Linked DNA regions of Elephas maximus indicus. The protein of the gene in region 4 interacts with the protein of the main gene of each other region in a biochemical or structural test. Links are inferred from orthologs where the notes say so. Each region holds a gene or a part of one and is shown on either strand. Other genes may lie near its edges.

Region 1 (7,079 bases), on a different chromosome or scaffold from region 4:
CTCACAACATGGATGAATCTGGAGGGCATTATGCTGAGTGAAATAAGTCAGTCACAAAATGACAAGTATTGTATTATAAAAACTCAAGAAAAGGTTTACCCATGGAAACAATCTTTGATGGTTACCAGGGAGGGAAGGGTAGGGAGGAGATATCACTAACTAGATAGTAGACAAGTGTTAACTTTGGTGAAGGGAAAGACAACGTACAATATAGGCGAAGTCAGCACAACTTGACCGAGGTCAAGTCATAGAAGTTTCACAGACACATCCAAAAACCTTAAGGGACTGAGTTACTGAGGCTGAGGACTGGGGACCATGGTCTTGGGGGACATCTAGGTCAACCGGTATAACATAGGTCATAAATAAAATGTTCTACATTGTAGTTTGGTGAGTAGCATCTAGGGTCCTGAAAGCTTGCAAGCAGCCATCTAAGATACATCTATTGGTCCCATTCCATCCGGAGCAAAAAAAAAAAAATGAAGAAAGCCAAATACACAAGGAAAATATTGGTACAAAGGACTAACTGACCACATGAACCACAGTCTCCATCAGACTAAGCCTAGAAGAACTAGACCACCACCGATCACTCTGACAGGGATCACTATAGAGGGTCCCAGGCAGAGGATGAAAAAATGTAGAACAAAATTCAAATTCACAAAAAAGACCAGACTTACTGGTCTGACGGTGACTGGAAGAACCCCTCAGACTACGGCCCCTGGACACCCTGCTAACTCAGAACTGAAGCGACTCCCGAAGTCCACCTTTCAGCCAAAGATTAGACAGGCCTATAAAACAAACAATAACAAATGTGAGGAAGGTGCTTCCTAGCTCAATCAAGTATATAAGACCAAATGGCAGCACCTGCCCAAAAGCAAAGACAAGAAGGCAGGACGGGACAAGAAAACTGGATGAATGGACTCTGAGACCCCAGTGTGGAAAGGGAAAGAGGGAGAGTGCTGACACACTGCAGGGACTGCAACTAAAGTCACAAAACAATTTGTGCATAAAATTTTTGAATGAAAAACTAATTTGTGCTGTAAACTTTCATCTAAAACACACACACACACACAAAAATCCTGGCTCTTGAAACTTACTAGCTTTAAACCTTTGGTAAGTCCTTGACCAAGGACCTCAGAGGCTATAAACAAGCTGGAGATAAGACAGTGTTCTAAAAAAGGTAATAGGTAAACTGTTCAACCCCTGAATGTATTTGAGATTACAACCGTTGCCTTTCAGGATTCTTCAGATCAACCACAGTTAGCCCAAAATGATAGGTATCGTAAAACAGCACGTGGAATGGGCCAAAGAATTACGAACTCTTGGAGGTAGAAGAGACCTCAGAAGTCATCTAGCCCAAGTCTCTCCTTTCATAGTTTAGGAAGCAGGCATAGGAGAGATGCCAAGCTACATGCGAAGCTCCTTTTTGCCTCCCAGACACTCTCTTCAATGTCATTATTTTCCCAAGATTTCATTATTTCCTTTGAGGCAAACAGAATAGGTTCTTATGCCCCCAAAATATGAACCCAAATCCTGCAACTACCCCAAACTCTTGCCCCTAACCGAACACAGGAACAAAAGGGCAAAGGTATACACGCTCTTGCAGTTACCTGATTAAACCATCAGGTCCCTGCGTAGGAAGCTGTACAAAGAGTGACAATGCTGCCTACAAACAGAAATGCCTATTTGGAAGTAGAAGCTTTTCATATTTCTTCTATAGAAAGAAAGATCACTGTGCGACTACCAAAATTACCTGGGAGTTTCTAGAAGTGCTAACTGATTTCTCACTTGCATATCTTCACGATGACACAGTGAAGAAAAACTGAATTAGACTCTTAGGCTTCTTAGGAGTACCCATATGCCAAGTAACCAGTGCTGGGAAGTGATAAACAGGAACTTGAAACCCTTCCTAATTAACTGAACCAAACTAAAAAAAAAAAAAAAAAAACCTAAGTAAACTTCAAATGACTCTTCTTTATCTAAGTTCAATCCTAGGTTTGTGGCTCTATTGTCCTAGGCTCTTAAGTTCATTAACTTACATGACAAAGACATGAAAATGCTTGGGAAAAATCAAGAAGACGTCAGTCAACAAATTCATTTATTTTAGTTAAGGGAGGATCTGGCTGCAGCAGAATCATGTGAGGCTTTTTAAAAAAAAAAAAAAAAAAAAAGTCTGCAATGAATCCAAATCGCTAGAACTTGGGCATAGGAGTTACCATTTTTACTTTAAAAAAAAAAAAAAACGAAACGGCAAAAACAAAAAACTCCGGGTAATTCTGAGCGGAATCAGATTTGGGACATGCTGTAATAGAAGATCTCTAGAGTCTCTTCCTGTTTAACATACTCGTTAACACCCAAAATGAATTACACAGAAAAGAAAATAAGGAAGGAGCCTAACACCAGGAAAATGACTACGCATTCGAAGTCCATACCGATCACGCTCCCCCGTTTTACTAAACGGTCGGTCATAGAAACAGGGGTAGATGCTGGATTGGAAAGGGGCGTGGTGTCCACGGTATGTCGGCTAAAAACGGGGTGTGCTTTTTTTCTCTGTTTTTCTGCCACTATTAGCAGAAAGAAACTTTTCCTGACTATAAATAGGTATGATAATGCCTCTGACAGATGAGCTGGATGTCTCAGTCCCGTGTCTGGCCAACAACGGGTGTCAATACGTTCCTCCTACGTGCCTGCAAGAGTTGCAGGAAAAGTCAAGGTTGGGGCCTGCCTGCTCCGAGGCTAAGTGAATCTGGCTTGACAGAACTGTCTGCTCTGCAATCACACCTTCATGTCCCCTACTACCAGGGAGGAGCCGTTTAGCACATACCTGAGGGTCCTCTGGTAAGATTGATCTCTTCCTCAGTGACCAAATAATCCACTCTTCCGTTCATGTTTTAGTGCTCTCCAGGCTTCCCACCTGGGTGGGCTAAAACTACTCAGATGAAGGTGAATCAATCTCAATTCCTTAGCCCAGCACTTTCGGTTTCAGCAGCCTCCAGATCGGAAGCGGATACCGCGAGAGCTAGGAGCGCTAGGAATGCTGGGAGTCGTGGTTCCCGCAGCCGACATGTTCCGTTTTCTCACCTGGTCCTTGCAGCAAAATGTGGGGTGAGGGGAGAGCACATTACGATCCTAATTAACTGGTTGAAAGCGTGGGGGAGGCAGACTAAATAAAGGTAGGAAAAAAAAAAAGGTAGGAGGCATTAGTAAATTGATATTGTTGAGGAAAAATTAAAAATAAAATCTCCTGCATACCCCGGAAGTCCTCTCCTCAAATGTAGGGGGAAAAAAAGAACTTTATTGTTCAGTAAACATTAAATCAGCCTGCAATGGGCATCACAGGCCCTGCTATTGAGATTGCAAAGACAGAAAGAAATCTCACCCTTTTTCATAGCCAAGCAGATACCATCCATTACATGCGTGTTCTCATGTAAGAGGACCTGACAGCACCAGTTGTTATACATTCTTTAGTAGTTCACACTTGGAGTGGCCGTTTGTGTTAGTTAATTGTCCTTATCCAAAGGAAAAATAAAACTTCTCTATCTGTATGACAATAAAACAATATCATACACAAGTGAAGTTTTGCTGAAGATCATTCAAAAGCGGTTACAGCAGTTCATCAACAGGGATCTGCCAGAAATTCAAGCCACATCAGAAGAGGTCATGGAACCAGGGATATCATTGCTGATTTCAGATGGATCCTGGCAGAAAACGGAGAATACCAGAAAGATGTTTACCTGTGTTTTATCGACCCTGCAAAGGCATTCGACTGTGTGGATCATAACAAATTATGGATAACATTGCAAAGAATGGGAATTCCAGAACACTTAATTGTGCTCATGAGGAACCTGTGCATAGATCAAGAGGCAGTTGTTCGAACAGAACAAGAGGATACTGCGTAGTTTAAAGTAAGGAAAGGTGTGTGTCAGGGTTATATCCTTTCCTCATATTTAGTCATTCTTTATTCTGAGCAAATAATCCAAGAATCTGGACTATATGAAGAAGATGGGGTCTCAGGATTGGAGGAAGACTCATTAACAACCTGCGTTATGCAGATGACACAATCTTCCTTGCTGAAAGTGAAGAGGACTTGAAGCACTTACTGATGAAGATCGAAGACCACAGTCTTCAATATGGATTACACCTCAACATAAGGAAAACAAAAATTCTTACAACTGGAGCAATAAGCAACATCATAATAAATGGAGAAAAGATTGAAGTTGTCAAAGACTTCATTTTACCTGGATCCACAATCAACACCCATGGAAGCAGCAGTGAAATCAGACAACTCATTGCATTGGACAAATCTACTGCAAAAAACATCATTAAAGTGTTAAAAAACAAAGATGTCACCTCAAAGACTGAAGTGTGCCTGAAAACAGGGTGATTGTTTTCAGTCACCTCATATGCATGCGAAAGCTGGACAATGAACAAGGAAGACTGAAGAAGAATTGACGCCTTTTAATTATGATGTTGGTGGAGAATATCAAATATACCTTGGGCTTCCAACAGAACAAATCTGTTTGGGAAGAAGTACAGACAGAATGCTCCTTAGAAGTGAGGATGGTGAGGCATCATCTCACATGCTTTGGACATGTTATCAGGAGGGATCAGTCCCGAGAGAAAGACATCATGCTTGGTAAAGTAGAGGGTCAGTGGAAAAGAGGAAGAAGACCTTCGACTAAGTGGTTGACACAGTGGCTGCAACAATGGGCTCGAGCATAACAACGATCATGAGGAGGGCTCACAACCAGGCAATGTTTTGTTCTCTTGTACATAGGGTCACTATGAGTCCGAACAGACTCAAGAACACCTAACAATATCTGTATGGCAAGCGGTACTTACAGTTTGGGATAGGGCACCTAGGCTAATTCCCACCTGAGGGGAGGTAGGGCATTACATTCCTCGATGTTTACATTTCAAAGAGTTGTCCTTAAGAAAGAGAGAGGGGAAAGTTGTCTTTCCCTTTCGGCAACTTGGAAAATTACATCTTTTTTTTAAGTTTACCATTACAGTGTGACTGGTAGATGACCTAGCTGTAACTTCAGCCCAGCCCTCCTGATTTGGGGGATAGGACATTCCAAAGTGTGCTTAATGGAGAGGGGTCAAAACTCAAAAGCCTTAAGGGCCAGGAAGGTGACTTTAAACTGTGAAACAACCTGGAATTGTTGCTGTTGTGTGCCGGGTCAATTCCTACTCCTAGCGGCCCTCTATGACACAGTAGGACTGCCCCATGGGGTGTTCTAGGCTGTGATCTTTACAGGAGGAAATAGGTCTTTTCTACTGTGGATCCTATGGTTGGTTCCAACCAGTGACCTTTGGGTAGCAGCCAAGCAATTAACCACTGCACCACCAGGGCGCCTAACCTGGAATTAGACAACAGGAATTGGTAGGAACCCTGGAGGATTGGAAAGTGGACGTCCAATATAAAGGCATTCAAATTCAGATTGAAAAACAAGCTCAACTAAAGCTACTGTGTTAAACGAACAAAACAAGACAAGGGGCAGATGTAGCCAGAAGGCCCCTTGTTTGCCAACACTGAAATTAATATGGAATGGTGAAAAGAACACAGGAGGTGATTCTAGAAGATCTGATCACTATGAGTTGGAACTGATTCAGCAAGGCAACCAACAACAACATGTTACTTGTTCAAACAGCTGGATGGAGATGGAGGTGAAATACAAGATCATATATTCTGGGCTACCACCCGCTCCTTGGAAATGCTGGTGGCGTAGTGTTAAGTGCTACGGCTGCTAACCAAAAGGTTGGCCGTTGGAATCCACCAGGCACTCCTTGGAAACCCCATGGGGCAGTTCTACTCTGTCCTGTAGGGCCACTATGAGTTGGAATCGACTCAACGGCAACGGGTTTAATTTTTTTGGTATCCACTCCTTGAAAACCCTATGGGCAGTCCCATAGGGTCTGTATGAGTTAGAATCCATGCAAAGGCAGTGGGTTTGGTTTTTATGCCTGTGGTTATTATGACATTTGGGAATGGGTTGTCTTTGTTATGTTAATAAGGCAGGATTAGTGTATGGCGTATCTTGACTCACTCTTTTACAAAGTGTAAAAGAAGCAGAGTAAGCAAGCAAAGATGGGGGAAGATAGATGCCAAGCCATATGAAGATCACCAAGGAACCAGGAAACAGAAGCTGAAGAGACAAGGACCTTCCTCCAGAGCTGACAGAAAGCCTTTCCCTAGAGCCAGTACCTAGATTTGGACTTCAAGCCTCATAAACTGTGAGAAAATAAATTTCTCTTTGTTAAAGCAATCCACTTGTGGTATTTCTGTTATAGCAGCATTAGATAACTGGGACACACATGGTATGATACCTACAGTAATAAAGGCAAAAAGCAAAAATGCAGAACAGACCAAAGTAGGAAGAAATAAGCCTTGCCTGGGAGTAAGGGTGGAAAACCTGGTGGCATAGTGGTTAAGAACTACGGCGGCTAACCAAAAAGGTCAGCAGTTCAAATCCACCAGGCACTCCTTGGAAACCATATGGGGCAGTTATACTCTGCCCTTTAGGGCCACTATGAGTCTATGAGTGCTGTGGGGAGAATGGCTGGCGTAAGAAATGGTGAAAAAATTGGAGAGTAGAGGTATGTCTGACCTCTACCTCATAGGAATCTCCTTTGTGCTGATCCTGGTTATCACTCATGGATTTAGACAAGTTCAGACACTAGCGTATAATACCAAACGCTTTCCAAGATGATCGTACCTATTTACATACTCACTATCTGAGAGTTCCCACTGCTCACATCCTCACTAATAATTGGGTTATTGGTCTTTCTAATTTTTGCTAGTCTGGTAGGTGTGAAGTGGTGTAACCCGACCTTGTGAATGCCTATCCTTAAACTAGCCCGAGCCAAATTTGGCCTGCCCCGCACGTGCAGAAGAGCCAGCGGTGATGGATAATTGACCTCGGTGGAGGATGCAGCAACAGGTGGAATGAATAACCATATCACCTCCTATTTCCTGGCTACCTTTTAGAATTTCCCTCTCCAGTACACCTGTGCGTCCACCATCTTGCTGCCCACATCACATAAAAGCCCCGTTTCCCCATAGCTTGGGGAGTCAAATC
Region 2 (7,958 bases), on a different chromosome or scaffold from region 4:
CATGTCCTTTGGACCTGGGGTCCCTGTGCCTGAGACGCTCCTTGACCAGGGCAAGATTGAGGACAAGGGCCTTCCTTCAGATCCAACATAGAGAGGAAGCCTCCCCCTGAAGCTGACTCCCTAAATTTGAACGTTTAGCCTACTTTACTGTGAGGAAATAAATTTCTCTTTGTTAAAGCCATCCACTTGTGGTATTTCTGTTATGGTAGCACTGGATGACTAAGACAGTAATGATGTAGTTATCCTCCACATGAGCCGATGTGATCAGCCAACTAGTTGTAACGGGAGTCTCCTCATGGTTGTGGCCTGCATCCAATATATATATGGATGTTCTGGCAAAGCTCACTTGCTTGCTCTGGAGCCTGCACCCAGTTCATCATCATCTAACCTCTGGCTCTTGAGACTTGAGCCAGCAACGTGTCCTATTGCCCGCAGCTCTTGGGATTTGTTGGTCTCCAGAGCCTGTGATCCAGCAGCCTGCTATCTTACCTGCCAGTCTTGGATTCGTCAGCCTCTGTAGCCTGTGAGCTAGTGGCCTGCCATCTGCCCTGCCATCTGCCCTGCCAATCTTGGGTTCATCAGCCCCTGCAGCTACATGAGCCAGGAAAAGCCTCCCGCCTGACACCTGATCCAAGAACTTGGGACTTGCCAGCCTCTACAGCCACATGAGCTGTTTCCTTGAGATAAATCCCTCTCTTTACACATGAATATATACACTTTGAAAAAACCAAACCTGTTGCCGTTGAGTTGGCTCTGACTCATTGTGACCCTATAGTACAGAGTAAAACTGTCCTGTAAGGTTTCCAAGGAGCAGCTGGTGGATTTGAAACTGATGACCTTTTGGTTAGCAGCCGAGCTCTTAACCACTGTGCCACCAGGGCTCCAGAGGAACTTGGTAAGACCAGTGAATTCCATTAGCATGTGCCCACTGCTGCACTTCATTTGCTGTGAATACACCTATGAGGCTTTTTTTTTAAAGTTATTACATTGAAAGTGGAAGCCCTGGTGGCGTAGTAGTTAAGAGCTATGGCTGCTAACGAAAAGGTCAGCAGTTCAAATCTACCAGGCACTCCTTGGAAACCCTATGGGGCAGTTCTACTCTATCCTATAGGGTTGCTGTGAGTTGGAATCTACTCAACAGCAATGGTTTTATATATATCCATATCTATGTAAAGTTAATGTACACTCATATTTTTTATAAATTAGTATATAAGCATGTGCATAAAAATATATACACTATATAACCATAAATATATTTAAATGGATTTATATACGCATAAAACCAAAATCAAATCTGTTCCCATGGAGTCAATTCCGACTCATGGTGACCTCATGTGTTACTGAGTAGAACTGTACTCAACAGGGGTGTCTTGGCTGAAATCTTTATGGAAGCAGATCGCCAGGCCTTTCTTCTGTGGTGCAGCTGGGTGGTTAGTAGTCAAGCACAAACCAATTTCATATGCATAACCTTTCAAAAAAGAATGAAACTATCAAAGTAATGAGAAAAATTTCATTTACCTTCGGAATAAACATTGGACAAACTTCACAGTTTTTCCAACTAAACAGTGATGGGCACGACAGATGATTCACAAGAAAACATGTAACTGAATGTAAATTCTGTGTGGTTCTACAGGGATACGAGTAATGACAAAATCATACCTGCCTTGTACTTCCCCCAAAGTAGACAGTAGCTATAATTAGCAGTGAGCTTACATCACTAAAATGTCTTTTTACTCTTTTACTAACATACCATAATTGTTTATACACAAGGCATGATAAAAATAGAAATTAAACCCATGAGTCAAATTTAAAATATGCTTTTTTATATACATATATGTATATATATATATATATAAAAGCATATTTTAAAGCAGAATCCTTCATGTTCTCCGAGGTGTCCACATAGCAAATTTAGAAATGCCTATGAGTTCTGCTGGATATTAGTGCTATTATTAATAATATGTGCTTACAATTATAACCTTTCATCCAAGTACCTCAAAGAGCTTTTAAAGCATTAATTTGTTATTTCTTTTAATACCTCTGAGGGGCCAGCTAGTAGAAAGTTATTATTATCTCTGTTTTACAGCCAGAGAATCTAGGGCATAGAGAGGTTAAGTGACTTTGCTAGGGTTATATAGTGATTAAGTAACGAAAAAGAGACTGTGAGTTAATTCTTCTCGTTTACAGTTTAATACATTACCCATTACATGGTCATTTAATACACTTAAATATATTTCTATTCTAGGAAAAATTAGAATAATATATTTGAATAATCAACAACTAAAAGTTGATGAAAGAGTTCCTCATTTTTGTGTCAAAAAATGTTGCTATACAGGGGTATAAAGTAAAAACTAATAAGTAGTCTTTGGTTTGCCACCTTACAGGCCTTTTGCTATTTGTGGCTTTCTGAAGCTTCTGCTCAAAAAGAACCATTCTATTTCATACTGCTTTATGCTAGGTTAGCATAGCTGTGAACAGCCGAGGAGCAGCTGAGACAGGCTGACTAATGAATCTGAAGTTGCCTTTCATTGTGTTCCCATTGCTCACTCTTCTTGAACTCATCCTCCTCTAGTTTTCCACTCAAATTATCTGTATAACTCACTATTCTCAATCCTTGGCCCATAGCCAGTCTAACTAAATTATCTCACCGATGAAATAAACCAATTTTTATTATTAAAATATCAACAGAGATAATACTTCATTGTATGAGTTTACTACGTTATACCAGTTACCAATGTCATATTCAGTTTCTGGTAATACTGACCTTTACAGTCCTTTGAAGACAATCAAGTATCTGACTCTTGGCCTACAGACAGCACATACCATCCCTTGGGAATTTTTTTTTTTTCTTAATGATACATTGTTGTGTTTTCAGTGAAGGTTTACACAGCAGTTTAGGTTCCCATTCAACAGCTTCTGTACAAGTTGTTCAGTGACATTCTTTACAATACGTGGACATTCTCATTACTTTTGTCCTGGCTGTTCCATTTCCAGTAATCTAGTTTCCCTACCCCCTTACATTCTCATCTTTGTTTTAAAATAATTGTTGACCGTTTGGGCTCATATAGGTGACTTTTTAAAGGAGCACAGTACTGATGGGTGATATTATTTTTGAGCCAATTCATTATATAGCTACAAGGTTACTTCAGGAGTTAGTTTCAGAGTATCTCAGGGCAGCATTCCTGGGGAGTCCTCCATTCTCAACCAGTCCAGTTGATCCGATTGTTTTTTTGTAAATGAATTTGAGGTTCTTCTGTTTCACATTTTTCCCCCATTCTATCAGGGTCCACCTATTGTGGCTCCGATTAGAACTGTCAGTAACGGTTACTGGGCATAATCCAGTTCTTCTGGTGGAAACTTTTTTTTTTTTTTTAATGTAATATTTCAGCAATTTTCCCAAGTTAAGGTAGAGAGAAAAAAATGGTTTTGAAACCGTGTTCAAGGACGTGAGATGCATGATCTGCTTTGACGTGGTAACAGTAGCCCAGATCCTCCCTAGAACTCTAGGCCCATAGAGCAACTGCCATAGTATAGCACCACGGATACTTCAAACTCACCACCTCCAAAACTAAACTCATTTTTCTGCTCCCTCCACCTTCCTCCCCACCTTCACCCCCCCCCCCCAATTAATCTGTCCTCCACCAACAGGATAGCTTAAATCCTAAATCTGTTCAGAGGCATTCCTCTACTTGAATCCTTTAGGAGTTCCTCACTGCTTAACCATGGCATGAAAGTTCATTCTTGGTTTCTGTCTGCTTCTCCAGTTTCATCTTCTTCAGCAACTCAGGCTTGAACTTTAAATCCTGTAAATACTCCTCATTCCTCTCGGCACACATTATTTCTTGTCTCTGTACCTGTGTACATGCTGCAAGTTCTTTCTATTCCAATTCCGATTTGCCATTCCATCCCCTATTTTTGTGCCTGAAAAATTCCTATTTATCTTTCAAACTCTAAGCCAAAGTCAGTAAACTCATCCATTCCTTCCTCTGTATACCTTGATATCCGTGCTTCCAATCATAATTATTTGCTTTCATATCTGTCCGCCCACTAGGCTGGGCTGGGCATTCCTTGAGAGCAAAGATTAAGTCATGCCCTGCACATAGCTGGTACCCGTAACTTTTTTGGGGGTGGGGGGGAGAGGAGAGATAAGAGAATGAACGTCGCGAGATAACAATGTGTAGCTCCCAACAGATGTTATGCAAACAGATCTATTTAGCATCTGTGGTGGAATTTAAAAAGGAACCGCTTCTAACTTCAGTTCCCAAATCAAAGTGCCGTGGGGCTGCAGGCTGATCTCAGTGCCACACCAAGCTCCAGACCGCTGTGTCCAGGAGGGTCCCTGAGCCACTCAGAAAGGGCTCCCTGGCCACCTGCGGAGGCGAGTTCTTCAAGGGTCAGCAGTTAAGCATGAGGCCCGCAGCAGCCAACGGGACCCCCCAACCCGGGCAAGCGACTGACCCAACCCACCTCTTAGGGTTCGGCCCGCATCCAGCCACGTTGCCGGCTGCACTCTAGGAAACCCTGGCCACAGGACCCGGGTGGTCTCCACCCTAATACGACTCGGGAGAAGGGGCTGCCCCAGTAAAAGCAAGATGGCGGACTCAGCTCTCCCCTCCTTCCCCCAAGAACCCCCTCCTGGTCCCCAGGAAAGAGACGAGGCAAGGACGTCGCGGCGCCGACGCCCAGATCCGGGAATCTCCGCGAGCCTGGCGGCCACGCCCGGGCCCCCGGGAGGTGATTTCACCTCGCGGGACGCAGAGCCGAGGTGCGGCCGCCCGAAACGCGGCGCAGACAGGTCTAGGGACCCAGGGGGCGGGTCCCCGCTAGCCCTCACTATCCCGACCATTGTTCTTCAGCCCTGGCCGGTGTCCGCCCTACTCGCCGCTCGCGGACGGGAAGTTACTCCCCGGCCGGCCCCGCCCGCTTTCCGGCGCCCCGGAAGTGATCTGCGGCGGCTGCTGCAGAGCGGCCAGGAGGAGGGTGGATCTCCCGAGAGCTGAGCGCCGGGAATCCTCCTCCTCTTTTTCCTCCCGCCGCCCAGGATCCGCCGCCGCCCGTCTGACTCCTCTTCAGCCGCTCCCCGGCGCGGTGCCTTTCTGAGGACAAGGGCGAAGCACTCTCCGGCCGGAGTCAGTGCAGCCGCGGCTTCCGAAGCCCGTGGGGCGGCGGACCGGCTCGCGGTGCAGGTGAGTGATGCCCGCCTTGGGCGCCCCGGGAGCGGCTTGGGCCGACAGAACGGCGGCGGGGGTGTGTCCGGGCGGCGGCGGGCCGAGGCCCAGGCGCAGGGCCCGGCTGCCGAGATTGCACATCCCGCGTTCTGCCTGGGGGACGAGCCCGGGCTGGAATCCCGGGCGCCGCGTTCGCGGCTGTGCGGGCGATTGCGCCCCCGAGAGCTGGCGGCTGCGGCGAGGTCCCCCGCGCCCGGTAGCACGTCCGAGTTAGTCTCGCCGGAAGGTCACCCCGCATCTCTGGGCCGTCCCCGCTCCGCCACGCCGAGGTCCCCGGGCGGTGCCGGTGAACTGGGGGGACCCTCCGCCGCAGTCCCCGCGCCTTCCTCCACCCCCTCCCTTCCCTTTCTTTCCACTCCTTTGCGAAAGCGGTTGCTTTTTAAGCATCTCTGCCGGTGTTTTGTGCCAGTTAAAGGAATGGCTTTTTCAGCCTGAAGTTATTAGACGCTCCGCACTGAACTGAATAGCAGATCCTGAGCTCTTGCACAGGTTTAACCCGTATTCGGGTAATCTAAGCTATGAAACGAGGAAGCAGAGAGTGTAGATATTTTCGGTTGTAGAGATTTATTCTCCGTTCGTTCTTAAAGGATTTCCAGATGTGGAAGACGTGAACTGTATGCTTTAGCCAGGGTACATGTGTGTAAGTGGGCAGGGATGACGGCGCAGAGGTGGCAGTGTTGTTTTAAGATTTAGGGAGAATTAGGGAGTTAACTGGCCTTTGCTGGGAAACCTGAATGTCCAGACTTGTGAGAGCTCATCCAAGTGTCATTGAGATAGTGTGAGAGCTCCAGTGCCACACCCTACTTGTCGAGCTGAAAAGCACCTAATTTACAAATTATATTTGGTGTGGGAGGGAAAAACTTCTCTAGGGAAATGCTTTTTTTTTTTTTTTTTTAATTTTCTGTGATGCAAAGGCTTTCTAGTTTTTTTTTAGTTTCTTTCTCTCCTCCTTTAAAAACTGAGTTTGTATGTTACACTTAAAAGCAAACCATCCTTTGAAGAGAGTTGCATTAATGTATAAGAACAAATTTGGCGTTCTTCTTAACAGAACGTGTCATAAGTTAATCTTTTGCTAAAAGCAAATTACAACTTGAATCATGTTCCAAAAATCGATAATGAATCTCAGTAAACTCACAGTAGAAGGCATTCCTTTTGCCTTATGCTTATTAAAGTATTTAAATATATTTTATTAGCTTATATTTTTCTGACACTACTAATACAGAATTGTTATAAAATAACTTTTGCGACTCTTAAAACATTATTTTTGGACCTTCAGTTTCTTCAAGACAGAAGCCATGTCTTATTGCTGTGTGTCCATGTGGTGTGCCTAGAACTTAGAAGCTACTCATACATTTCTTTACTGAATGAATGAATGAATGAGTAGGTGGTCTCACAGTGGCTTTCCAGGAGTCATTTATTTTTGTTTGGTTAGATTTTTTTTGTTATTGTTCCAATTTCTTGTACATAAGACTTTGCTTTTCTTTTTGTTCTTCAGCAGGGTCAAAGAACAATTCAAGAAGACTCTCTTGTCTGCTAAAACTTTATCTATCCTTCTCTGAAAGGTTAAAATTATATTTGGGAGATTATGAGGGGATGTTATAATAAAATTTATATTCCAGTGTTAAATGCTTACTACTTGAGGATGTTTGTCCGGGGTTATCAGGAAAGAGATTTATATAACTTCTTGTTTTGAGTTGATAACCATACCCTATCTTAAAGAGGAAATTGGGAGTTACCACTGCTTGGAAAACATGATGTATCACAGAATTGCTTAGAGTGGCTGGTTCTTCCTGTGGATGCATGAAATCTTCTGACATTCTAATATGACCTTGGCATAGTTTATGAATAGCTACATTGACTTTTCTTTTCAGAGATCCATATGCCGTTCCATAGTGTATCTGCTTAGCATGCGTCATCTATATCACTTGTTTGAAATAGTTTTTCAGTGTAGCACTTTATTCTGATGGTTTATTACGGGAGTTTTAATGGGTTATTATGGGAGAGAATTTTGCTTACTATTTGTGAGAGAAGATTTTTGTCTGTAGACGGTTGGATTTTAAAAACTGCTGATGTCTTCTTTCCTCCAACTATCTGGTGGTGATCCTGTACTGGTTTTCCAAGTTCAGCTTCCACAAAACATAAATAAACCAGTTTATCTCTTCTTGTAAATGTGTATATTCGCATAATATGCACTTATATTCCTGAGTTGGTATGTGGCAAGGATAATCACTTTTAAAATACTGGAATAAGAGGCTGTGAATGTTAATGAGGAAAAGGATTATGATTTTGAAAAAGAAGGGAAGTAGTTTATGCTTGTTTTATAAAATTCTTAGACACTAAGGAGACACTGAAAACCCTGGTGACATAGTGGTTAAGTGCTGTGGCTGCTAATCAAAAGGTCAGCAGTTCGAATCTACCAGGTGCTCCTTGGAAACTCCATGGGGTAGTTCTACTCTGTCTTAAAGGGTCGCTATAGTCAGAATCCACGTGACAGTAATGGTTTTTTGTTTTTTTTTTTTAATTTAAGGAAACAGTGCAATTCTTTTATCTCAGCAACATAACCACTGTACACAGGTCAGATTTCCCTTTAATTCAACAACTCTCCTAGTAATAATAGTTCTCATATGTTGATTGCCTACCTGGATTCGCAAGTATGAGCACGGATATTGCAGTTAATCCTGGAATGCTGAGGAAACGGTGATTCTGATTGAGCCAAGATACTGATCTCGG
Region 3 (7,279 bases), on a different chromosome or scaffold from region 4:
CAAGCGTCAGGGGTAGCAGGAACATTCCCCTCCATCTGCTCTTCCTCTTTCTGGACCAGAGGTAGATGCAATGTGGGAGGAGATGGGGATACTGGGCACCTGCCTGGGCCACCCCAGATTTCAGACCACCCACCTGGTCTCCCTCCTTAAATCCCCTCTCTCCCCAAACCTCTCATCTTCCTCCTCAGGAGCTGGCAACCACTGCTGCAGTAACCCGCCTCCCATGGGGGTAACCAAAATCCTAACCTCCCATTCATTCCCTCAGGTGATTCCCCTACCAGGCCCCAGTCCTCTTGACAACTCCCAGGTATTCCCGTTTCATATAATCAAATCCAAAAATTAATAGTGCCCTCAAATTGAGGGTGCATCCCCAAATGTATCTTGTTCTATGGCTGAAGGCCCACCCCTTCCCTACCAGCTGACACCCCCAGACCAGTCAGGAACTCACAACCAATAATCTAGCCTCACGCACAGGAGCCCCCAAAATTGGACAAGGCATCTGGAAGCCAGCTTGTCCCCAGGAGGCAAGAGGGCCACCCTACACCTAGCCCACCTTCCAACATCCACAAGCCTCCATGTGAGCCATGCTTCTCCTTAAATAAGTCTCCTGCAAGCATCAATGGTGAACCCCCAAATCCACCAGATCCTCCCAAAACCATGCAACACCCTAAATTTTCCGTTTCTCTACAGGTACAAAGAGATCACCCCAGAGAGCACCTGTGGCCAAACCCAGTTTTTTCTGATATATGAACCCCAAAACTAAATTATGATCCCGAAATTCATCTTACTTCAGATGCTCCCACTCCAGCGCCGCCACCCCTAGATTAGGCCTATCTAACCCCTCCCCACAAACTCGTTACCCTCCCCCAGTTTATAGCCCCCCCCCATCACGCTTACCTTGGTTGTCACTATACAGAGACAGTCCATGTTGGGGGGCCTGGCCGCGGCGGCGGGTAAGGGGCTCTGACTTCATCGGAGTTTCGTTCCTCCCCTCCGCGGGTTCTCACCCCTCCCCCCTCCGCACCCCACTTTTGCAGGGGGGGCCAGGATGGGGGGAGGGGTGAGAGGGGGAAGAGGAGGTCGGAGAAGGGAAGGGTAGGGGAGCGTGGGAGGGAGGGGAAGGGGGCCCTAAAAGGGGGTCCCCAGTGGAGGGGAAGGGGCTTGGGGAGCACACCCCGATTCTCAGGAGGGGCGGGGGCAGCGGGGGCTGGCAGCCCCGGGGTTCGGGGGCTGGGGCATGAGCTGGGATGGGGGAGGGGAACTGGATTTCAGGGAGCCCCGGGATTGGGGGAGTCTTGCCTAATAGCCAGGGCCTAGGGGCCGTGGCGGGGGAGTGGGGTGGGGGGGTTGGAAGCGGCTGCGGCCGAGGGAGCCGTGGAGCCGAGGAGGGAAAGGGAGAGAGGAGGAGAGAGGAAGCAGGGGGAGGGAGGGAGGGAGCGAAGAGCGAGAATGGGGGGGGGTGCCTTGACAGAGTTAACTCCTTCGGTGCTGGCAGGAACCCGGATAATGGGAAAGGAGCTAGAAGCAGAAGCAGAGAGGCCCTGAGGCAAATGAGGAGACCTGGCAGCCACCAGGGAAGCTACCAAAGACAAAGATGAGGGATTTCATTTCTTAGGGGAGGAAGCACCTAGAGTTTGGCTGGGAGCACCCACGACTGTTCAAATACAGGCGGGTGACCATGGTGGGAGGTAGAGGGGGAAGGAGGGGCTGGCAGGGGAGAATCCCTGGGGGCCTGGTTCGCCCTCAGGGTTCCCAGGAGGAAGGTAACTATGTATGCCCTGAACTCTTTAGCGCCTGAAATTGGGGCAGGCAGAGAAAACAGGGAAGCAAGAGAGAGAAAGGGCTACAGAATGGGAGCAGGTACATTTTCAGTGTCCCCAAGCTCCTAGACCTGGACTCAGGATTTTCTCACCCAGGACCCCAAGTTTCAGTGTAATATGAGCAATACTTCCCTCACCCCTTCAGCCCTGCCTACTCCCTCAAGAAGCCAGCCACTCACCTCCTTACCTGACTCTCTGAGATGGAGGCCTCATAATAGTCCAGGATGTCTGTGACAGAAACAGAACTGAGTTACTCTCCTCCATTCTGGGATTCTCGGGCCACCTGTGCCATCATCTTGCTCATCAACGCTGGTGGAGAACACTGCCGGGAAGACCTGCACCGGGCTCCCAACTAACCCTGAAGTCCATGCTCAGCCCCTTCCACCTCTGTCCCTCAGAATATTGGGGCTACTCACCCAGCAAGGCCTGAAAGAGATCACTGTGCAGCACTGTGAGGAGCGGGGGTGCCCACCACAGTAGTGGAGGGGCCAGGAGCCAGAGAGCTGACCTGGGAGCTGGTAAAACGCAAGTGAGGGAGGCTTGGGGCAAGGAAGAGACCAGCCCAGAGACAGAGCCAAACACTCACCTCATCTCCCCCACCCTTTGCCCTTTCACCCCAGACCCCAAGGAAAGACTGGGGAGAAGGATCCCAGAGTCCCAGCCCCCAGGCCACCCCCTGGGCCTCCCCACAAGAACCCCTGTCTTTCACCTCTTGGTCTCTCCGACATCTCTCTTCTCTCACTTTAATCTCCCAAATCCCCCCAGATTGGAGTTGAGCTGCCTTCTCCTGACCCAGTTTTAGCTGTTAGGTAATCTCCGAACTGACCTGACCTGCTGGCTGTTTCATCTTTCCCCAGGTTCCCAGGCACCACCACAGCAAATTCCCCAACACCCTGGCTCCCTCTTCCCATAACCATAATAGTTTAGCTACACTTTCCTGAGGGTCTTGGAAAAAGGGTCTTCCCTAAAAGGAGGCTGCCGCAGCACAAAGGAAAGGAAGCAGAGCCCAGCTCTTTCCCCTCCTGGGCCTGTCCCCAGCGGGAATTGTGGGAAGAGGGCTATAAATTATCAGGAACTTCTTGACCCAGGGCTGGAGAAGCATGGGAGAAAGGAAGACTCCAGAACTTCCACAGTTGCTCTCAGGCCTGGGACACATGTATCTGCCTAGAGGTCTAGCCTGGATGCAATGGTCTCTGGAAGGGCCAGAGAGCAGACAGACAGAGATATGATTACAAAGTCTCAGCGGCCCTAAACAGGAAGCAGTGAGCCCAGAGGGTCCTTTCTACTGTGAAGTTTTAGGTGTTTCAAGAGTTAGTGACACCTTCTAGGTCTAAGGAGGATATATGTTCGGGACATTCACACCTCCAGTTCAGTCCCTCACCTGCCATTTTCTTCCCTTTTGTTTTGATGGAAAGAGACAGATTTCACAAGAGACCTTTAAAGAGCCAACCTCCTTGCTTCTGGCGTTCATCTTACACAACTCTTTCCTCATCTCTCCCTTCTAACTCCTCCTGGAAGTCCTGCCTCAGTCTACCTTCCATCTCTCTGGATGCAGTCGCCTAAGTTCCTCCCTCTTCTCTCCCACCCTATCTCATCAGGGCAGGGCAGAGCAGCAGACCCTAGCTCAGACAGAAAGGAAGAAGGAGTCTGGGGAAGGCAACGGATACTTGGAACTGCTCCAGGTCAAACAGACCGCAGGAGCTGGGGGGCGCTGCGGAACTGCAGCCCCAGCATGCCCTGGGGCCCGGAAACCCCTCCCGTCCGCCTCCCGGTGCATTTTGAGACGAAGTCAAGGGGTGGGGCGGACCTTGGGAGGCGGGGCGAAAGCGAGGAGTCAGCCGGCGCTCCAGGCAGCTGAGGACTGTGCGGCGCCGAGGTGCAGGGGACTGAGATGGCTTCGAGCGTGGGGCGACAGCTGCTGCGATTCAGGGGTGGCAGGTCTGTGTCCATCTGGTGGGACGGGGGACGTCAGTCCCGGGGACTGGACCGGGACTGAACCCCTGCTCCCCACAGCTCGCGGCCCAGCGCGCTCTTGGGGCAGCCCCGGCCCGGTCCGACCCAGCGAGCTTATGTCAGTGGGGCTGCTCAGGTAAGCGATGGAGGCATTGGGACGAGGGGTGTGGGAGTGGGGGCCCACCTCCCTGCCACCGGCAGGGGTCCCCCTCTTCGTGCCAGTCACCTGCCACCCAGTCTGGCACCGAAAATAGGGGAAAGGCCAGGCCAGGGTGCCCTGTAGATGAAACTAGGGGAAAGGTCGCGGGATCTACCCTTTTCCGCACCCAGCGGGCCCCGTGCTCTCCTTGGCACACCGAAGTCCCTGTCCACGTCCTCGATAACCATTTTTCTCTAGACGGCTGTGGACCAGTCAGATTCCCTCTCCTCTGATGCCTCCACCAAGGAAAGCCAGGCCAAGGTGGTATGTGGCCCCTAAGTCGGGAGGAACTGAGCTGGGGCAGACACCCTTCCCCTCCCCAGCCACCTCCCTGAACTGCCTTCTCCCTGCCCAGGAATCTAAGTCCTTTGCTGCAGGGATGTTTAAGGGCCAGCTCACCACCAATCAAGTGTTCCCATACCCATCTGGTAAGGGCAGGAGTCATCAAAGCCGGGCGGAGGCAGGGCAGCCTTCCCTGTCTGCAGCCTCACCCCGCCAGCTTTCTTCCCCCCCTGCAGTGCTCAATGAGGAGCAGACTCAGTTTCTCAAAGAGCTGGTGGGGCCCGTGTCCCGTTTCTTCGAGGTGAGGAATGATCGGGGTTGGAGAGTGGAGGCCTGGGTCTCTAGTAGGGCATAAAAAGACCTTGGATGTGGGGTCTTCTGTCGTCCCAGGAGGTGAACGATCCTGCCAAGAATGAAGCTTTGGAGCGGGTAGAGGAGACCACCTTGAAGGGCCTCAAGGAGCTGGGGGCCTTTGGTCTGCAAGTGCCCAGTGAGCTGGGTGGCGTGGGCCTCTGCAACACCCAGGTGAGGGGTACCCTTGTCATTCCCCGGGATGCCATTCCACTTCAGCTTGGCAGCTTCAGGGCATTCATCACTTTTCTGGGCCCTGGGTCTCTGCCAAGCAACTGTCTAGGGCCTGTGGGATGTTGACTGTCCCCACTGTATAGGCACCCCCCAAAAACAAATTACATCCAGTTCCCTAGGGCCGTGGACCTCACCCCGGGTCCCAAGTCCTAACGAATCTCTAAGCTGGAGACCAACCACTTGACAATGGTAGGAAGCCGCCCACCCACCAATACCTGGGTCAGATATATCCTCTGCTGTGCCCTTTCCATGGTTCCACTTCCCTCTTTCCACACTGTGGGGATGACCTAGGCCAGGCCCTGCTCCATTCTACTCTCCTGCCAAGGGGAGGTCTTCGGGCAGTTACAGCCCAACCGCCTGCTTCCCTCCAGTATGCCCGCTTGGTGGAGATCGTGGGCACGCATGACCTTGGTGTGGGCATCACCCTCGGGGCTCATCAGAGCATCGGTTTCAAAGGCATCCTGCTCTTTGGCACGAAGGCCCAGAAAGAAAAATACCTCCCCAAACTGGCATCTGGTGAGACAGTCCTACAGACAAGGAGTGGGGTGTCCTGGGCTTGGCACAGATTTGGCTGGTTGGCACTTAGATCACCAGACACCTGGACATGTTGGTTGGGAGCGTCTCAGGCGGCCTCACTGTGCTGGTGGGGAAATGCAAAGGAACTAAATGTTCCTGGAGGTGTTAAGGGGTGCAGGCTGTTGGGGGACTTTGATGCCCATCAGGATCCATGGTAAAGGTGCTCTCTCCCCTTCACAGGGGAGACTATGGCCGCTTTCTGTCTAACGGAGCCCTCCAGCGGGTCCGATGCAGCCTCCATCCGAAGCTCAGCTGTACCCAGCCCCTGTGGAAGTTATTATACCCTCAACGGAAGCAAGATTTGGATCAGGCAATTTTCCTCTCATTTCTTCCTTTTCTCCACCTCTCCCCGATTCCAGGCCCCACTGTTCTCAGTCCTCCTGACTGCCCCCTCATTCTTCTACAGTAATGGGGGCCTGGCAGAAATCTTCACAGTCTTTGCCAAAACACCGGTTAAAGATGCATCCACGGGCACCACGAAAGAGAAGATCACAGCTTTTGTGGTGGAGAAGAGCTTTGGGGGTGTTACCCAGTGAGTGTTGGAGGAAGAGGCAGGGCCAAGGAGGGGGCAGTACTGGGCACCAGGGCAGATGGTTGCTACATGTCACCCTGGCAGGGGCGGGGCGGGGCGGGGGGATACAAAAGCCAAAGCAGACAGCATGTTCCTGTTGGGACTAATATGTATGAAACCGATTTAAAGCTTGGACTCCTAGCAAATAGTGGGCCCAACCCACTAGCAAGACATAGCCAGGCCTCTATAGCTCAGCCTTTATAGCCCTCTGGGCATCGTAGGAACTGTGGCCTGTATCCTCTCATAGTCTGGGATTTGTAGTTCCTCCTTGGTTCATAAGGCATGAAGGGGCAGTTTCCTCCTCTGCTGGCAACTTGTTGAACACAACTCTGCTTCTCTACTCTGCCCTGTCGCAGTGGGCCCCCTGAGAAGAAGATGGGCATCAAAGCCTCGAACACAGCAGAGGTGTACTTTGATGCGGTGCGGGTGCCATCGGAGAACGTGCTGGGTGAGGTGGGAGGCGGCTTCAAGGTCGCCATGCACATTCTCAACAATGGAAGGTTTGGCATGGCTGCAGCCCTTGCAGGCACCATGAAGGGCATCATTGCTAAGGTGGTGAGTACCCTGCCTGAGTCCCTCCTGTTACTGTTGCCATCGACTCCAACTTATAGGGACCCCATCCAACAACCATCCTGTTGCTGTCAAGTTAATTCTAACTCATAGCGACCCTATAGCTAGCCTGACTCTGAGTCACAGTCCCCTCTGACTCCCTTGCAGGCACTCCCTCCACCACAAAACCCTCCCCACAAACAGCTCCTGAACTATTAGCTTAGGCTTTCATCCAGTGGGGACTGACCTTGGCTGTGGCCAAAGCCCCTCCCTCCAGCCCCTCTGCTGGGAAACTGCAGAACTACCGTGTAACCCACGTGCCCTTTTCCAGGTGGATCATGCTACTAACCGTACTCAGTTTGGGGAGAAAATTCACAACTTTGGGATGATTCAGGAGAAGCTGGCCCGCATGGCAATTCTGCATTATGTGACTGAGGTGAGAGCCCTTCACCCTCCTCCCTGGAGCCTTTCTCTCTGCTGGGTCAGACTACAACCCCCAGCAGCACCTGGGGCAGTGGGTCTCCAGCTTCACACCAATGCCCTAGGGGATGCGGAGAGGCATAGTCAGTTCAGCTTCTGCACATGAGGCGCGCTATTCTGCCGAGGTGCTTCCCAGAAGTTAACGCTACCCCCACCCCAACGCTTCCTGATCTCTTGCAGGAAGTCAAATGCCTGAGCCCTGATGAACTGACTCAGGGGACCAAATATTTAGACTTGCATAACATAGCGTTACAGAGTGAATGC
Region 4 (7,330 bases):
GGTGCCTAATACAGTGCCTGACACATGAACAAAACCAAATCAGTTGATGTCCAGTCAATTCCAATTCATGGCAACCCATGTGTTTCAGAGTAGAACTGTGCTCCATAGGGTTTTCAATGGCTATGACATTTCCAAAATAGATTGCCAGGTCCTTCTTCTGAGGTACCTCTGGGTAGATTCAAACCGTGAATCTTTCAGTTAGCAGCAGAATACTTTGTACCCTTTGTACCACCCAGGGACTCAGCAGGGAGTTAAAAATGGATTCAGCTGGTTTAGGTGTCCCTTCTTTGTCCTTTCTCAATGACTCCTGTGTGCCTACAAGATAAAGTTGCAATTACTTCAATGGCATACGAGACCATCCATAGTCTGGTCTCTGCCTACCTCCCCAGTTTCATGTCTTGCCACCACCCTGTACTCTAGCCAACTATACAAACTACTTGCAGATCCTACAACTCCCCATGTAATTTTAGACTCCCATGCTTTTGCTCACTGTTCCATCCACCAAATTGTCCATCTTTTTTATGCCTACATACCCTAGCGACATAGTGGTTAAGTGCTGTGGCTGCTAACCAAAAGGTCGGCAGTTTGAATCCACCAGGCACTCCGTGGAAACTCTCTGCGGCAGTACTACTCTGTTCTATAGGGTCTCTACGAGTCGGAATCGACTCGACGGCAACGGGTTTGGTTTTTTTGGTTTACACTTGTTTTCATCACCCACTAGATCTAGTTTTTCCTTACCACCCCCTCCTTCCTCAATCCCTTTCTCTGCCTTTCAGAAATTGATCACTACTTCCTTTTACACCCACTGGACCCCTATACTTTTTCTAATCAATGTAATCTTTAAAATGTATTACATTTGTTGACAGTTCAAGTAAGAGAGTCTTATCACTCTGAAGGCAGGGACACTGCCTTATCCATCTTGAAGAACTCTTCATCTGGCAAAGTACCTGCTACATAATTCCTCTTTATACTAATGATGTGCATTTCGCCTTGTCCCCTCTTGCATATACTAACACAAGCTTCTACCAGGCATTTTCTTTCAAAAAAGAAAACATATTTTCAGGTTATATTCTGGACCCAATCTCTCCTCGCTAAACAAACAACTGTACAAACACAACTGTACAAATTAACGTGCATTTCTGATGCCGCATCTACCTTCCTAAATTAGAAGAGATATGGCCCCTGCAAGATCTATAATGAGAAACAGCATGTTGATGAGATAGCAAATTAAATTATAATGTTACTTTGTTTCAAGACACATTATTTAAGGAATTACTTTCCAACAGCTACTGCTAAAGCCTATCTGACTTGGATCTGTGGGTCACTCTGAAAAGTGGGAACTACACTACTGACTTCCTCCCTACCCCTACTACTGCCAATACTATTATAGCTCACATTAATTACTCCTGTTCAGGCAGGTACTCAGAAAGGAATTATCAAGTCGCCCTGATAATTCTAAAAGGAGAATGTGAAGTGACCTTTCCCATTCGCAGTCCCACTCATTCAGATGTGCTGCCATGGGGAGCACCAAACCATTCCTTGTTGGTAGCTGCTGTGGAGTCAATGACGACTCATGGTGACTGCACGTGTGCAGAGTGGAGCTGTGCTCCACAGGGTTTTCAAGGCTGTGACCTTTCAGAAGCAGATCACCAGGCCTGTCTTCAGAGGCGCCTTTGGGTGGGTTTGAAGTGCTAACCTTCCAGGTAGCAGTTGAGCACTTAACCATTTGTGCAACCCAGGTACTCTGGCCTATTCCTTATCGCCACTTAAATACTTTGCGAATAACTGCTCGAGTATGATGGAATGCAATCCAAAGTATTGCACCATTAGAACACGCCCACTCCACTGAACAAAAAGTTTAGTGAAAGCTTTTCTTATCGGTACTGAAGTCAATGCACCTACTGCAGTACTTCTTTTACATACCTTCAAAATAACTCCAACTGGAAATTTAACAATATTCAAGAACTCTACTAGGCCTTAGAGGACACATGCTGCTTGCTCAAGAGGGCTACTCTGCAGTAGTGAATCCCAAAGCTTGAAACAGCTTAATTACCTCAGGTAAGCCTGAGGTGTGCAATATTTTATAAAACCTGTTTCGCTCGCAAGACTACAGGATAAAAAAAAAAAAAAAAAAAAGCTGACCTCAATTAAGAGCATTTTGGCACAAGCATATTTGAAAAACATATTTGAAGAACAGTTGTGAAAAGCATCCTCAACGCTAGAGCTGCCAGTCCTTTCCCAGTAAAACCCAAACTAAGGACCAAAGTCCCCAACGGACCCCCAGTGCTTCAATGCCAGCGCTGGGAAAAACTAAGAACCTTTTTCTAGTCCCCTCAGCATGCACTGGAGACAGGTCAATATTTCGGAAAAGACTAAAAACTAATGATAATATAAAAGGCTGAGTCCTCTCTCCTCCGTTCAGGTGTGCCTTAAAGAGCTCTCCTGGGGCCTGGAGAATCAGGGGGGTCCTTGGTTCCTAACTCTTCTACAGACCCCGGGAGCACCAAATCACAAATGCAGATGCCGTTAGGGTAGGCCCGCCCCGCAAGTTGGGGGGACGGTTACCAAGCCAGCAAGAAATGGGGACGAACCTTGCCCAGTATGAATCAATATTAGGGCAGCCACGCCCCCCAACCCCCAACTCCAAAACGGAGTGCGGCGAGCGCCGAGCCCAGCACGCTGCCTGACAGACTCGGTGCGAGGCCGGCGCCGGAGACGGGTCCTCGGGCAGGCGAGGGGCATCGTGGCGATCCGGCACACCACCACTCCACGCGACTGACCTGTGCCTGCTGCCGCAGCCGCCGCCTCCCCGCGCTCACGCTGCCGTCGCAGCCACCGTAGCCGCCTCCTGCGCGGCGCCCCCGGTCGGCCTCAGGAGCCCCATTCCCACCCCGCCCAGCCTCCGCCTGTTTACAATGACTGGGACGAAACAGGACGAGCCGGCTCAATGCGCACGCGCATTCAGTCCTCCCGCCGCTGCCAGCTTCCCGGGTTCCTGTCGCCCGTAGACTGACTGCTTAGGCCGTCAAGGGCAAACGCCCCGTGCCCTCGCGCGAGGCACGCCGGGAGAAGTAGTTCTCGTACGCCCCACTCTGGGCCTTCACGGGGCCGCTCGTAGAAGGAGCACACTACAACACCCAGGAAGCTCCGCGCTTCCTCCGGCCCAGGCGCTCGCTCCGGGGACAGAGGGAGCGCGCGAGAGTGCGCGCCGCGCTAGGATTGTGCAGGCGCCTGCGCAGTTCTGGTCTTGGGGGACTGGGTGGGACGAACACCTACCCCATAAACGTATTAGCCAAGATCGTTTGGGACAGCTCTTGTGATGGTCTTGAGAAAGGAAATAGCTTTCCTCTCCACGCTCTGACCAGCCTGTGTCCTCAGCTACCGAAGCTCCAATCTTGTGCCGGCTTGCTTTAGTCGTCCTAACCAGTTAGACGAGCCTGGGAGGCCGGCCCAGCCTGCCGCTGGGTGGGGCGTCTTCCTGGCTTCCGACTGGGTGCGGAACCTTTTATTGCGGTGGGAACTCTTGCTTGAGGGCCTTGGAAAAAGGAAGCGGCGAGGGCCAGTGGGGGAAAAAAGGCTGGTGTAAAACTTCCACGGAAGGACCGTCCGCGGAATTCCTGAAATGAGTGTTGACAGGATCAGCCCTTGGTTCTTGGCCGGCTGCGGAATTGCTGTCTTCTACCACCCTCTTTGGCACATTTACAAAGCAATACTTGAGTTAGAAATGCCCAGACACATGTTCAGCGCGCAAACAACTGAATCATGAGGAAGAGTGGAAGTAACTGGATTACTCCAGAAGTGAGGGCTAAGGAAAGTCCTTCCAAGGCTTAAAGAATTGTTCTGCTGATGCTCCTTGAAGGCTGGAAACCCGGGTTGGTTGGTTTGTTGGAAGTGTTCTTGTTTTATAAAATTTGGCTGTTTATTAGGGAAGAGAGAGGATTTGGGGTAGATAGTCCTTCACAATCACTTCCATCCCCACATGACCGCTGCAATCCATCCTGCAGTTTTTCTAAAATCTGATAAATTTGTCTCCTGCGCTCTGCATTTCCTACCCAGTAAAGTTCAGGCCTGGTGGCACAGTAGTTAAGTGCTGGCTGGCAAGCAAAAGGTCTCCCACAATTAGAACTGAGACGGTATGGGGTAGCCATTGTTTTTCTGACTGTGTAAAAGCTTTCTCATTGCCCCTTCTGGCAATAGAACAATCTGTTCTAACCACTGGGATGGGCATGCAATGGTGCCAATTGCAATAATACTCTTTGCCTTTGGCAACATGCATTGGGCCAAAGGATAGGCACTGACCCAAGCTGGGCATTATGGAGCCCTTGCCTGAAATTGCTATATGGACAGAGAACGGGAAAAAAAAAGCGTTCTGCTGAGGTTTTGCTCATGGCCATATGCCCTGCAACATAAAGAGGCCTGTCTGCAGTAAGAATAAAAGAGGCCAAAGGACGGAAACAGAAAAGAAAGGAGAAATGAAGAGGAGAGAAAGCAGAGCTGGCCGCATAATGACTGTAGTTTCAGTCTCAGAGGCTGATCCTTAAGTGGTTGTGAGCATGTGAGTCTAGCTGGGTGAGCCAGTATATTCATTTATTTGTCGTTATTTAGGGCCAGTTTTTGTGGGCATAGAAGATATTTGTTGGTTGACTCTCAGGCATTTGTTTCACCTATTTAAGCCATGCAGCATATCCATATCCTCTTGCAACTGTGAGCTCTGCAGAGCTCTGAGTTTTAAAGACGGCCAGTGAGCTCTGCAGAAACTTGTACTGGGCTTCTAGTAAAATGCAGCTTCCTCACACTTCTGGTATGATGTGAGTATATGAGGTCTGGAAATATGGTAACTGTTTTCTTCCTATAAGGGGGGAACCTGGAGGTATGCTGGCTTACGGAGGAGGGCACCAGTGGAGGAAGGCACCGGTAAAGCCTCAGGATGACATCAATACTATTAATTGAGTGCTGGGGAGATGAAGAAAAACCTTGTTCTTGATGGCATAATTAGAGCTGCAGTATCATACCTTTTGTGAATTGTGATCCATAAGTTTTCTATATTGTTCAAGCCAGTCTGTATTGGGTTTTCTGTACTCAGAATTCTGAAAGTCCTAACTAATTGAGTTGGACTTCTCTTATGACACTGAAAGATCATGACTAATATAGGTTACTACCTACATAAAAAGAATCTGTGGAAGGGACTTTAGTTACGACAGCATGACAGGTCAGCAATTCCTCTGTACACAAAACAAGTATAAAACTGGAAAAAATTGTCAAAAACAACCATTTAGAACACTGGAAGTCAACTAAACATAGATGACAACTTTAGAGGCATCTAGAAAAAGTGATAGAACTTCAAATAGGAACAGTGGAAGTCTATGGCCTACTTGCCTAAGGCCGCTCCTATCCTCCATTGTTGCCTCAGCTCCATTGAGAAGAACAAATACTACCAGCATGAGTAGGCTACCCAAGAAAACCAGCAGCTTTGCTGCCAGAGGAGATGGACTCAATTTGTGGTAGAAGGTAAAAAAAAAAAAAAATGGCTTTACCAGTTAAAGGTAGCAAACTCAGTTGCAAATGAACAGGGAAAACTCATATCTTTGCTACCCCAAAGTTGCAGTTCTAGGTAGAGTAAATGGCAAACCAGGCAGAAATATAGCTGGGAGATACTGGAAATAAGAGTCATTGAAGCGCTGTTCTCCACACATCTCTGAATGACTGGGAAACTGTACATGTGTGGTAGTAACCCAAGAGACCCACTGAAAAAAAAGTGAAAGCCAAGGCGGATTTGGGAACTGGTAGTAATTTTGAATGCATTCCTCCATCCACACATAGATTAATTGACAGAAGGAGGAAGACAAGCTCAAGTTGTTTGAGTACAACTTTTGCTCAGCTCATTGACAGATCACTCAGCCATGCAGACATGGGGTAACCTCTAGAAAGCCAGGTTAAAGATAAAAATCAGAATAAAAAAAAAGATTAAAGAATTGATCTGTGTCAGACCAAATTAACAACAGTAACTCTAAAGCAAGATGAGTGGTCTATGGGGCAGTGAGTGTAAGTCAATGGTAGTGAAAAAACACGGGGACAGATAGCAAGAATAGTGTTACAACATGAAAAATGTAACCAATGTTATTGAACTATCCGTTGTAGAAATTGTTGAATGGATATATGATCTGCTGTGTATGTTTACACCAAAAATAAATATTAAAAACAATAAACCGAGCAGAAACACAAGAATCACAACCCATTGGAAAGGCAGATCCGCAGTTTAATTCTAGGTGAGATGCAAAAAACAAAACGCTCAGAAAAATAAAATGGCATCTAGAGTTGCCGAAATATACAAAATATTACATTTTCAACAAAGAAAGGAATTCATGCAAAGAAACAGGAAAGTGTCACCCGCTTACAGGGGAAAAAAAAATCAATAGAAATTGACTTTGAGTGGGCCCAAATATTAGATTTAGAAGACAATCTCTTCAAAACAGCTATTTTAAAAATAAAAGGAAATGTTTCAAGGAATTAAAGGAAAAGATATTTAAATAGAGAATCTTAGTAGAAAAATAGTTTATAAAAAAGAAACAAGTGGAATTTCTACACTTAAAAGTATTGAAAAAAAAAAAAAATCACCCAGAGCGAAGAAGAATGAAGAAAACCCAAGACACAAGAACAATATTAGCCCAAAGGACTGAAAGACCACATGAACCAGAGACTCAACCAGCCTGAGATCAGAAGAACTAGATGGTACCGGCTTACCACCAACAACTCCCTTGTCAGGGATCATAACAGAGAGCCCCAGAGACAGCAGGAGAAAAATGTAGAACAGAATTCACATTCAAGTAAAAAGACCAGACTTCACTGGTGCGGCAGAGATTGGAAAAACCCCTGAAACTATGGCCCCCAGATGCTCTGCTAACCCAGAACTGAGACCATTCTTGAAACTCACTTTTCAGATAAAGATTAGACCGGCCTATAAAACAAAAATTAATACATGTGAGGAGTGTGCTTCTTAGTTCAATCAAATACACAAGACCAAATGGGCAGATCCTGTCCAAAAGCAGGACAAGAAGACAGGAAGGGACAGGAACTGGATCAATGGAAACAGGGAACCCCAGATGGAAAGGGAAGCGTGCTGTCACACTGTAGGAATTGCATCCAATGTCACAAAACAATGTGTGTATATTTGCATGAGAAGTTAACTTGAGCTGTAAACTTCCACCTAAAGCACGATAATAAAAAAAAGAAATACATAATAAGTGAATCAAATACATTCAAAAAAATCTATCAATCACTTTCAGAGAAGTCCAAAAGAAGGGAAAAATGTGCAAATTATTATGATAGAATT

What was found.
Region 1: the proteins of RALBP1 (region 4) and SYNJ2BP form a complex in vitro, tested with the Homo sapiens proteins (2 studies listed by BioGRID and IntAct, with this or other methods). The link is inferred for Elephas maximus indicus from reciprocal best matches to the Homo sapiens genes RALBP1 and SYNJ2BP.
Region 2: the proteins of RALBP1 (region 4) and RALA form a complex in vitro, tested with the Homo sapiens proteins (3 studies listed by BioGRID). The link is inferred for Elephas maximus indicus from reciprocal best matches to the Homo sapiens genes RALBP1 and RALA.
Region 3: the proteins of RALBP1 (region 4) and DLG4 interact in a biophysical measurement, tested with the Homo sapiens proteins (2 studies listed by IntAct, with this or other methods). The link is inferred for Elephas maximus indicus from reciprocal best matches to the Homo sapiens genes RALBP1 and DLG4.

What each region holds. Positions count from the first base shown.
Region 1 is NC_064828.1:83,064,705-83,071,783, forward strand, and holds the start of SYNJ2BP (synaptojanin-2-binding protein), read right to left. Parts: upstream 3,002-7,079; 5' UTR 2,886-3,001; coding exon 2,822-2,885; intron 1-2,821. UniProt on the Homo sapiens protein: Regulates endocytosis of activin type 2 receptor kinases through the Ral/RALBP1-dependent pathway and may be involved in suppression of activin-induced signal transduction.
Region 2 is NC_064826.1:101,842,163-101,850,120, forward strand, and holds the start of RALA (ras-related protein Ral-A), read left to right. Parts: upstream 1-4,941; 5' UTR 4,942-5,186; intron 5,187-7,958. UniProt on the Homo sapiens protein: Multifunctional GTPase involved in a variety of cellular processes including gene expression, cell migration, cell proliferation, oncogenic transformation and membrane trafficking.
Region 3 is NC_064837.1:13,634,178-13,641,456, reverse strand, and holds the start of DLG4 (disks large homolog 4), read right to left. Parts: upstream 3,001-7,279; 5' UTR 2,738-3,000; coding exon 2,647-2,737; intron 2,336-2,646; coding exon 2,237-2,335; intron 2,049-2,236; coding exon 2,008-2,048; intron 1,339-2,007; exon of another isoform or gene 928-1,338; coding exon of another isoform or gene 898-927; intron 1-897. Other genes in the region: ACADVL (very long-chain specific acyl-CoA dehydrogenase, mitochondrial), read left to right, coding at 3,712-3,758, 3,834-3,909, 4,171-4,236, 4,328-4,400, 4,491-4,555, 4,645-4,779, 5,211-5,355, 5,596-5,725 and 3 more. UniProt on the Homo sapiens protein: Postsynaptic scaffolding protein that plays a critical role in synaptogenesis and synaptic plasticity by providing a platform for the postsynaptic clustering of crucial synaptic proteins.
Region 4 is NC_064829.1:13,772,942-13,780,271, forward strand, and holds the start of RALBP1 (ralA-binding protein 1), read right to left. Parts: upstream 3,020-7,330; 5' UTR 2,781-3,019; intron 1-2,780. UniProt on the Homo sapiens protein: Multifunctional protein that functions as a downstream effector of RALA and RALB. As a GTPase-activating protein/GAP can inactivate CDC42 and RAC1 by stimulating their GTPase activity.